2 linked regions of the Ovis aries genome follow. The protein of the gene in region 2 interacts with the protein of the main gene of each other region in a biochemical or structural test. Links are inferred from orthologs where the notes say so. Each region holds a gene or a part of one and is shown on either strand. Other genes may lie near its edges.

Evidence for each region.
Region 1: the proteins of BCL2L1 (region 2) and BMF interact in a test that uses a peptide from one of them, tested with the Homo sapiens proteins (2 studies listed by BioGRID). The link is inferred for Ovis aries from reciprocal best matches to the Homo sapiens genes BCL2L1 and BMF.

The regions. Positions count from the first base shown.
Region 1 is NC_056060.1:33,965,443-33,969,088, forward strand, and holds part of BMF (bcl-2-modifying factor), read right to left. Parts: coding exon 3,444-3,646; intron 1,939-3,443; coding exon 1,778-1,938; intron 1,579-1,777; coding exon of another isoform or gene 1,516-1,578; exon of another isoform or gene 1,420-1,515; intron 1-1,419. UniProt on the Homo sapiens protein: May play a role in apoptosis. Isoform 1 seems to be the main initiator.
Region 2 is NC_056066.1:60,937,164-60,940,909, forward strand, and holds the start of BCL2L1 (bcl-2-like protein 1), read right to left. Parts: upstream 2,843-3,746; 5' UTR 2,803-2,842; coding exon 2,239-2,802; intron 1-2,238. UniProt on the Homo sapiens protein: Potent inhibitor of cell death. Inhibits activation of caspases. Appears to regulate cell death by blocking the voltage-dependent anion channel (VDAC) by binding to it and preventing the release of the caspase activator, CYC1, from the mitochondrial membrane.

The DNA.
Region 1 (3,646 bases), on a different chromosome or scaffold from region 2:
GAACCAGGCCCTCGAAGAGACAGCTCTGCACTGGGGTCAGTGATGCCAAACAGCAAAGGGCAGGGTCAGACCTTGGGATCAGGGCCAGCTTCTCCTGTGAGGGACTGAGTTGGGAAGAAATGGCCCTGGGCTGAGTTCTAGTCCTGTGCCAGGGCTCGACTGGGCAGAGGAGGCCTCCTAGCCTGCTCCCAAGCCTAGAAGGGCTCACCAGTGGATGGTGGAACATTCTGGGAAACAGCTGTCGAGAGAGATCAGGTCTAATGCGAATGCAGAAAACTGCCTTCCAGGTAGTCCCCCAGCTGAGTCCAGGAGACCCAGAGCCACTGTGTTCTCCATCAGCTACAGCACTGGGGCTAGGAGCTGCGAGCTCAGGCCAACCACAGGCCTACACAACCAGCGTAAAATGAATGGGTAGGAAGAAGGCCAAGAGGCAGAAATCAAGAACCAGAGTGGACTGAAGGGAAAACCCTAAGCCAAGTTTCCACAGAGCTATCAAAGGAGGGAATAGGGGCTGGAACTTGGAGCCAGAGGAGACAGCCAGGCTGCCTTATCTAAGCATAGGGCCACCCTCTCTTCCTGAGGGACTGGGGGACCCACCAGGACCAGGTCTAACCCCACATTTCCCTCAGAACCCCTTGGCAGAGAATAACCCCTTCTGTCTGGATCTCAGGAAACTTAAACTCAATTTCTGTCTCCCCACCCCACCTCCCGCCAGGTGCTGGCCATATTTTGGTCCTCAAACCAAACCTATTATCAATAGCTCTCCTCCGGTCACCTGAATTTCCCCACCTAACCTCAGGGTCTGCCCAATCGTGGTGGATTAATTATTCTCTTGATTTCCTAATATACAGTCATATATAGACACGCATATACACACACACACAGCCGACTAGGCAAGGACACTGTCTCAGAGGCAGGGAATGTGTTCATTTCCAGGTGGCATGACTTTGCTTCAGTGGTGGTTGTACTAGCAGGGATCCAGCCTCAGGCTCCTCTCCCCGCCTTGGCAGCCATCCAGAAAGTCAGCCCAGGGAGGAAGAGTTAAGTGCCCAGGGGCTGGGCCAGACTGCCGCTGCAGAGCCAGGCAGCCTCCAGCCCAAGGCACAGAGGGCTCCTCCACACGAGCCCGCCAGCCGCCGCCTTTGTTGATGGGCTCTGCCACAAGCTCCAGTGACACGCGATGCTCCGCCCTGGCGGGCTGGTGCCAGGCTGCCCGCTGAGCACCCGGTCGCTGGTCTGGAGAGACTGTGAGGTACACAGTCTCCAGAGTCCTGGCCCTGGTTTCCAGACAGAGACAATGAGGAGCGGCCTCCCCAGCTGGAAAGTGTCGGGTTACAACCGGTTCCACCACTTTTCCCAACTCAGACCCGTCCAGGCCTCGGTTACCCATTTCCCACTGCACCACAGCCAGGTACCTCCGACTGTCCAGTTTTCCTCAGCACCATGAAAATCTTCCCCTTAGGTCTGCAAGGGACCATCTCCCACTGATGAACTCAATAAGATACAGTGTGTCAATCAAGGCTGCAAGAAGCTATGCCATTCTCCAGAAGAGATCGGAGCATTTCCCAGGGGCCTGAGCTGAAAGCAGGCAGATAAACAACTTGGATCTCATAGGTGAGAGCAAAAGCACTCATCCAGCCAGGCCCATTCTCGATTTCCAGTTCAAGAGAATCACGGTAACGTGGGTCCTGGCAGAGACAGAGTTGCTGAGGCAGGCCCCAGCCCCACAGACCCAGCAGATGCACACCACCTCCCCCCACCAAGCCCCAGTGCCTACTTGCTGCATATGAAGCCGATGGAACTGGTCTGCAATGCACTGGAGTTTTCGGGCAATCTGTATCTCTGCTCGATGTTGCCACTGCCCTTCAGGGGGTTGGTCACCAAGGGGCAAGCCTGCAGGGAAACTGGCAGGAAGGGGGAGCCGGTAGCCAGCATTGCCTGCAAAGACAGAGGGCCCACATCTCAGCAAGCTCCACCACTGCCCCATCTTCCCCATGCCTGCCACCCCTGGTCAAGACCCGGGGTCAAGGGTAGACTCTAGTATGGGAAGGAGAGGAACTGAGCCTGTCTTTCTCAGGGCACTCTGCCAAATGTGGACAGCCTGACTTGCCTGCTGACCAAGAGTATGAAAGCTGATGCCAGGCTTTCCTCCCTTCACTGGCAGCGCCATGGCAAAGGTAATAAGTGTGGCTGAACTTGCCAACCTTCTGTCCTTATTTACACAGCTACGCTTGACCACAATTTATTATTCATTATTCATACAGTAGTAGCAGGCTGAAGCTCTTCTCTAGAAAAACATTGGAGGCAGCTCTCCAGAGATCCTCAGTTGAGCAAAGCAAGGGACAGAGAATGAAAATCAGAAAGTAACCTCACTTTTTGGTGTAGCAGAGAAAGGCTGGTTTCAGGCCCTGAAGCTCTGGGCAGTGGCACAGAAACATAGGGAGAGAAGACTCCTCTGAACCACAGAGTAGCCAAGTTCCTCTCTGCAGCCAGCCCCAGGCCAGACATCTAGACCTGCTCTCCTCACTGACCAAGTGCTGGTCACCGAGCTGCCGCTAGGGGCGCCCGCTTGCTCCCGTCTTTCCCTCCTTCCTGCCCGCCTGCCTTATCCATCTTCTCAGATTCCTGCCAGAACTTTGCCTGAATTGTCCTACAGTGCAGCTCCTTCTGGGAATAACTGCAGCGTCTCCTCAATCCGCTCCATTGGACCCAGCAAGATAGCCTCTGAACCACCCTTCCCTCCATAAGCTTTGTGCTAAATGAAGAACACTGGCTATCTAACCTTGCCCTTTTGCCAGAGGAGGGCAAATTGCTAATAAAACCAACCACTGAAGCCCACAAATGAAAGGGTCTTATCTGACTGAGCCTTGGAAACAGCCCCTTTGTTGGCAATGAGCCTAGGCAGGCCCAACCTCTTTCTCCAGTTCCCCTTCCAAACACAGAAAGTCCCAAGTGACAACTGGGGCGGGGAACCTTCTGCCTCCAGGAAACTTCTCTCCCAGAACAAGCTGGGTTTTCCCCTTCAGTGTCAACAGCGAGTCACAGATCCCCCAGCCTTCTCCAGGGCAACACTAGCCACTTTACGGAAGGTACATCACTATTACGACACAAAAGCCTGGGCCAGTCAACAGGCCATAATATGTAAAAGCCAAGACCCAGGTACCCTTCTTCCAACCCAAGGAGATACCATGGACCCAAGGATCCCTCCAGAAAGGGACAAATGAGCAGAAAAGAATGGCAAGGCAATCTGTCCTGCTTGTGGCCTGAGGAGCACAGACAAGAAGCAGTATATGAGCAGAGAGTCAGCAGGTGAAGAGTTGAGGGATCAATAGCCCCTGCTGCTCAATTTGGGGAAGGAAATAGCAAAGAGCAGGTTTGGGGAGGGAAAGTCCCCTCTTTTCCCCCATCTCTAAGGGAGGAGTCCTAAGGCTAAGAGCACTCACCATAAAAGAGTCGCTGGGGCTCCTCAGTCACCCCACAAGGCAGCATGACACCCTGGCTCGGGGAAGCTGGGCTGAGAGTCTGGGTAGCCTTGTCTTCCTGGCTGGTGGGTCGAAGCCCAGGGCCACAGCAGTGCGTGAGAGGGAAGAGCTGCAGACGGCTGAGGGGGCAGTCCAGCTGGCTCTGGGCAAACAGGTCAGCAGAG
Region 2 (3,746 bases):
AGGCACAGCCTCCAGGAAGGTTATGAGATGCCACTGCAGCAGCCAGTGTGCAGCTCAAACAGAATGGTCCCCGAGAGGAAGTGGGCGGCACCTTCTACCCAAAGGATCCCAGTGTCACATGTTCTCTATCTCCTGGCCTCGGGAAGAACACGTGCCCAGAAACGGTTCTGATATAACTGGCTCTTCTGCACACATCCCCTCTGTCCACCAAGAGGAAGTAACACATGGTATGCTGTTGGGCAAAGAGACAGCAGAAGATGGAATGTCAATCCAGTGGTGATCTAATGATCTTGCCCAGTGTTGCTGTGTCAAAGACCTCTTTCCACACGCAACACTGGGTGACTAACAACTCTCTGGTCCAGGTGGCCCTCTTAGACAACTGGCTGGCAGGCCAGGAACCTCTCCCATGTTGCCTTTTGTTAACAGTTGGCCACAACCCACATGGAATTAGGACCACCAGCCAGAGATAACAGTGAGGGGCAAATGGCCCAAGTCTCTACTTAGGCCTCAGAGGGTGTGTCAGAAACGCTGGAATCCTGTCCCTCCTGTAGTAAGTTAAACAAATATTTGCCCCTAAAGAAAATCAAAGCAGGAGGGAAAAAGAGAGGTCATCACACAAACCAACAGGAACTATTTAATCATTTATTCCCCCAGGGAGTTCATTTACTGAAAGGCTTTCAAGTTGGGTCAGTCTGAGCCAAAGAAAGCCCTCCACCTTTACCTTCCCAGCCCCACCCCGGTCATCTGACCTCTACTCTGCTCTTTATAAGAACTGGCAGTGGGAAGAGTTGATGAAGTTGCAAAGAAATGGGAAATAAGACAGGGGGTGGTGTACCTGGAGGTCCCTTGCTCAGTGGTAAACTGAAGTGGCTGCCACACCCTAGGCCCAGCCTCTGGATAATTGCATTCTTAACATTCCTGAGTCCATGGTGCGTGGCCCTTTCCACCTCAGCTCCTTCAATAGATGACTTATTTTCCACAGCCTGCTCAATTTTCTGAAGGACAGAATGAATACCTCTCTTAAGCCCTACACCTCCCTGAGGCAGGGAGATAAGCGAGGAGATATGACTGAGTTCACTGCAAGAGAGCAAAAGCTGCTGACAGTGACCACAGGTAAAGAATCCCTCCACACCAGCTCATCCTGACTTGGTGATATCAGGGCAAGGGAATTCTCTTCCCTGGCAAAGGAATGAGGCACGACTCAGTTTCAGAAGGTGTACCTGGATCTGACAGTAACTACTAGAGCAAACTTCCTGTCACTATGCTCACATCAGCTCCAAGATTTACAAGGACTGCAAGGCAAGAGGGTTGGCCACATTTTTTTAGTGGAAGAACCTGAGGCTCAAGGTAAACTGGCCTGTCCAAGGTCACACACCTAGTTAAGTGACAGGGCTGGGACTCACATCTGTGTCAGTTTGTTTCTGAAGTCTGTCACTGAATCTCAATGTCCCAAGGAGCCCCAAAGATCAGGTTCTTGCATTGCCAGCAAACAGTGCTCAGTGAAGAGGCCCCAGGGCCATGGCAGAAAAGTGACAAGCATAACAGCTGGAGCTCCCCAACCAACCCAGGCAGTGAGGTGCAAAGTCCCTGGGCTGACAGCAAGCGCTCCGCAAACTGGCCAACCACACAGAAAAGTCGCATACTTTAGAGCCAATAAATATGGGGCACAGCACAAACACAACTGGCCCATTGGCGCAGCTTACAACCTAAAATCAGACAATCCTCAGCCATCCAGAGGGATGCAAAGCCAGGCCATGCAAACTCTGAAATAAGGGGAACCTGATTTGGAGGAGGGAAGCCCAGGACAGGATTGACAGCTCAAGGGAGTAAGACTGAAGGGGCTGGTGGGTCACTGATATTCACTATCTTCTCCAGGCATTCCACTCATCACCCCTTAACGTTGTGAGCCATTATGTCAGGGTGAGGGGTAACCTGTTACCTTTGCATTCTCAAAGGTTTGGGGCCAAATGAACACACAGGCTATGTTATCTTCTGCAGAGAAACTGGAACACAAGTATGACAGAGTAGGGTCACGAGGAAGACCAGAATGAAGATGTCTGGTCCTCACAGAACTAGGTCATCTGTATTTCAGAAGTTAACCTCTGTGATACAAAGAGGCCAGTTATGTCTCCTTAACAAACAATAATAATCACCCAGCACAACAGACACAGGGGAAAGGTTGTTGGGGATTTGACCAGAAGCCAAGGAAAAGGAATACATAAGGGGCGTGGTTCTTACCCAGCCGCCGTTCTCCTGGATCCAAGGCTCTAGGTGGTCATTCAGGTAAGTAGCCATCCAAGTTGCGATCCGACTCACCAATACCTGCATCTCCTTGTCTACGCTTTCCACGCACAGTGCCCCACCGAAGGAGAAAAAGGCCACAATGCGACCCCAGTTCACCCCGTCCCGGAAGAGTTCATTCACTACCTGTTCAAAGCTCTGATATGCTGTCCCTGGGGTGATGTGGAGCTGGGACGTCAGGTCGCTGAATGCCCGTCGGTACCTCAGTTCAAACTCATCGCCTGCCTCCCTCAGGGCTTGCTTCACCGCTGCCATGGGGATCACTTCCCGGGCATCCAAGCTTCTGCTGTGGCCGGTGGCTCCATTCACCGCAGGGCTATCCGCCAGGTGCCAAGATGGGTTGCCATTGATGGCACTGGGGGTTTCCATATCTGATTCTGTCCCTTCTGGGGCCTCAGTTCTGTTCTCTTCCACATCACTAAACTGACTCCAGCTGTATCCTTTCTGGGAAAGCTTGTAAGAGAGAAAGTCAACCACCAGCTCCCGGTTGCTCTGAGACATTTTTATAATAAGGATGGGCTCCACCAGTCCATTGTCCAAAACACCTGCTCACTCACTGGGTCTGGTCTCTGCTTAGTGGTTCTCTTCGAAGATCCAAAGGCAAGACAAGGTTCTGAAGGGAAAGAAAGAGCTTCAGGGGGGAAAAAATGAATATGCAAGCCATTTACCTACAATATCCCATTCCCCACTCCAGGTACTTGAACTGGGTTCTCTGCCGCTCTTATGAAGATATGGGTCTAGCTTCCCAGGTACTTCGATGAAGTCAATTTGAAAGCACCAGTGGGCTCTGAATCATCACACCGGCCTTTTTTTCCTCCCCTTTTATCCCAGCCACCCCCTTTTCTCTGAAATGTCTTCCTCGAAAAGTCACCCCCATGGGCAGTCTGCCCCCCACCCCCATAAACCCTCACCACCTACATTCAAATCCGTCTCAGGCGACGGCAGGCAGGTGCAGCCCCCGGAAGATCTTTTGTATCATAGGTGGGAGAGGAGGTGGCAGCGGGGATGCCGGTAAGTCAACCGGCCTCGCGGCGGCGGCTGGCAAAAAAAGCAGCTCCGGCTGGAGGGATCATGCGACCCGGCGAACTGAGAGCTCAGGAGGCGACACAGGAATTACGAAGCTCAAGAACCGGCCCCCTCGCTTGCTTCCTCCTCCATCGCCCCGATCGAGGGCGGCCGCTGCCGCGGCCTCCTGCCACCCGGGAGCCCAGCCCCCTCGCTCTTGCACGCCCCTTGGCTCTCCGCCTCCTACTGGGAGCTAGGAGAACTCTCTCGGAGGTGGCTGGTGTGAGCTTTAGTTTTTTTTTTTTTTTTTTTCTATTTCAGTATCAGCCCTGGGTGAGGCTTCCGAAGAAACCTTGAAGGGACTTCTCGATGGGGCTCAAGGTTTCGATGAGAAACAGAGGGAGGGGAACACTGCCTTGGATCTGCGGTCTGAGTTTGGA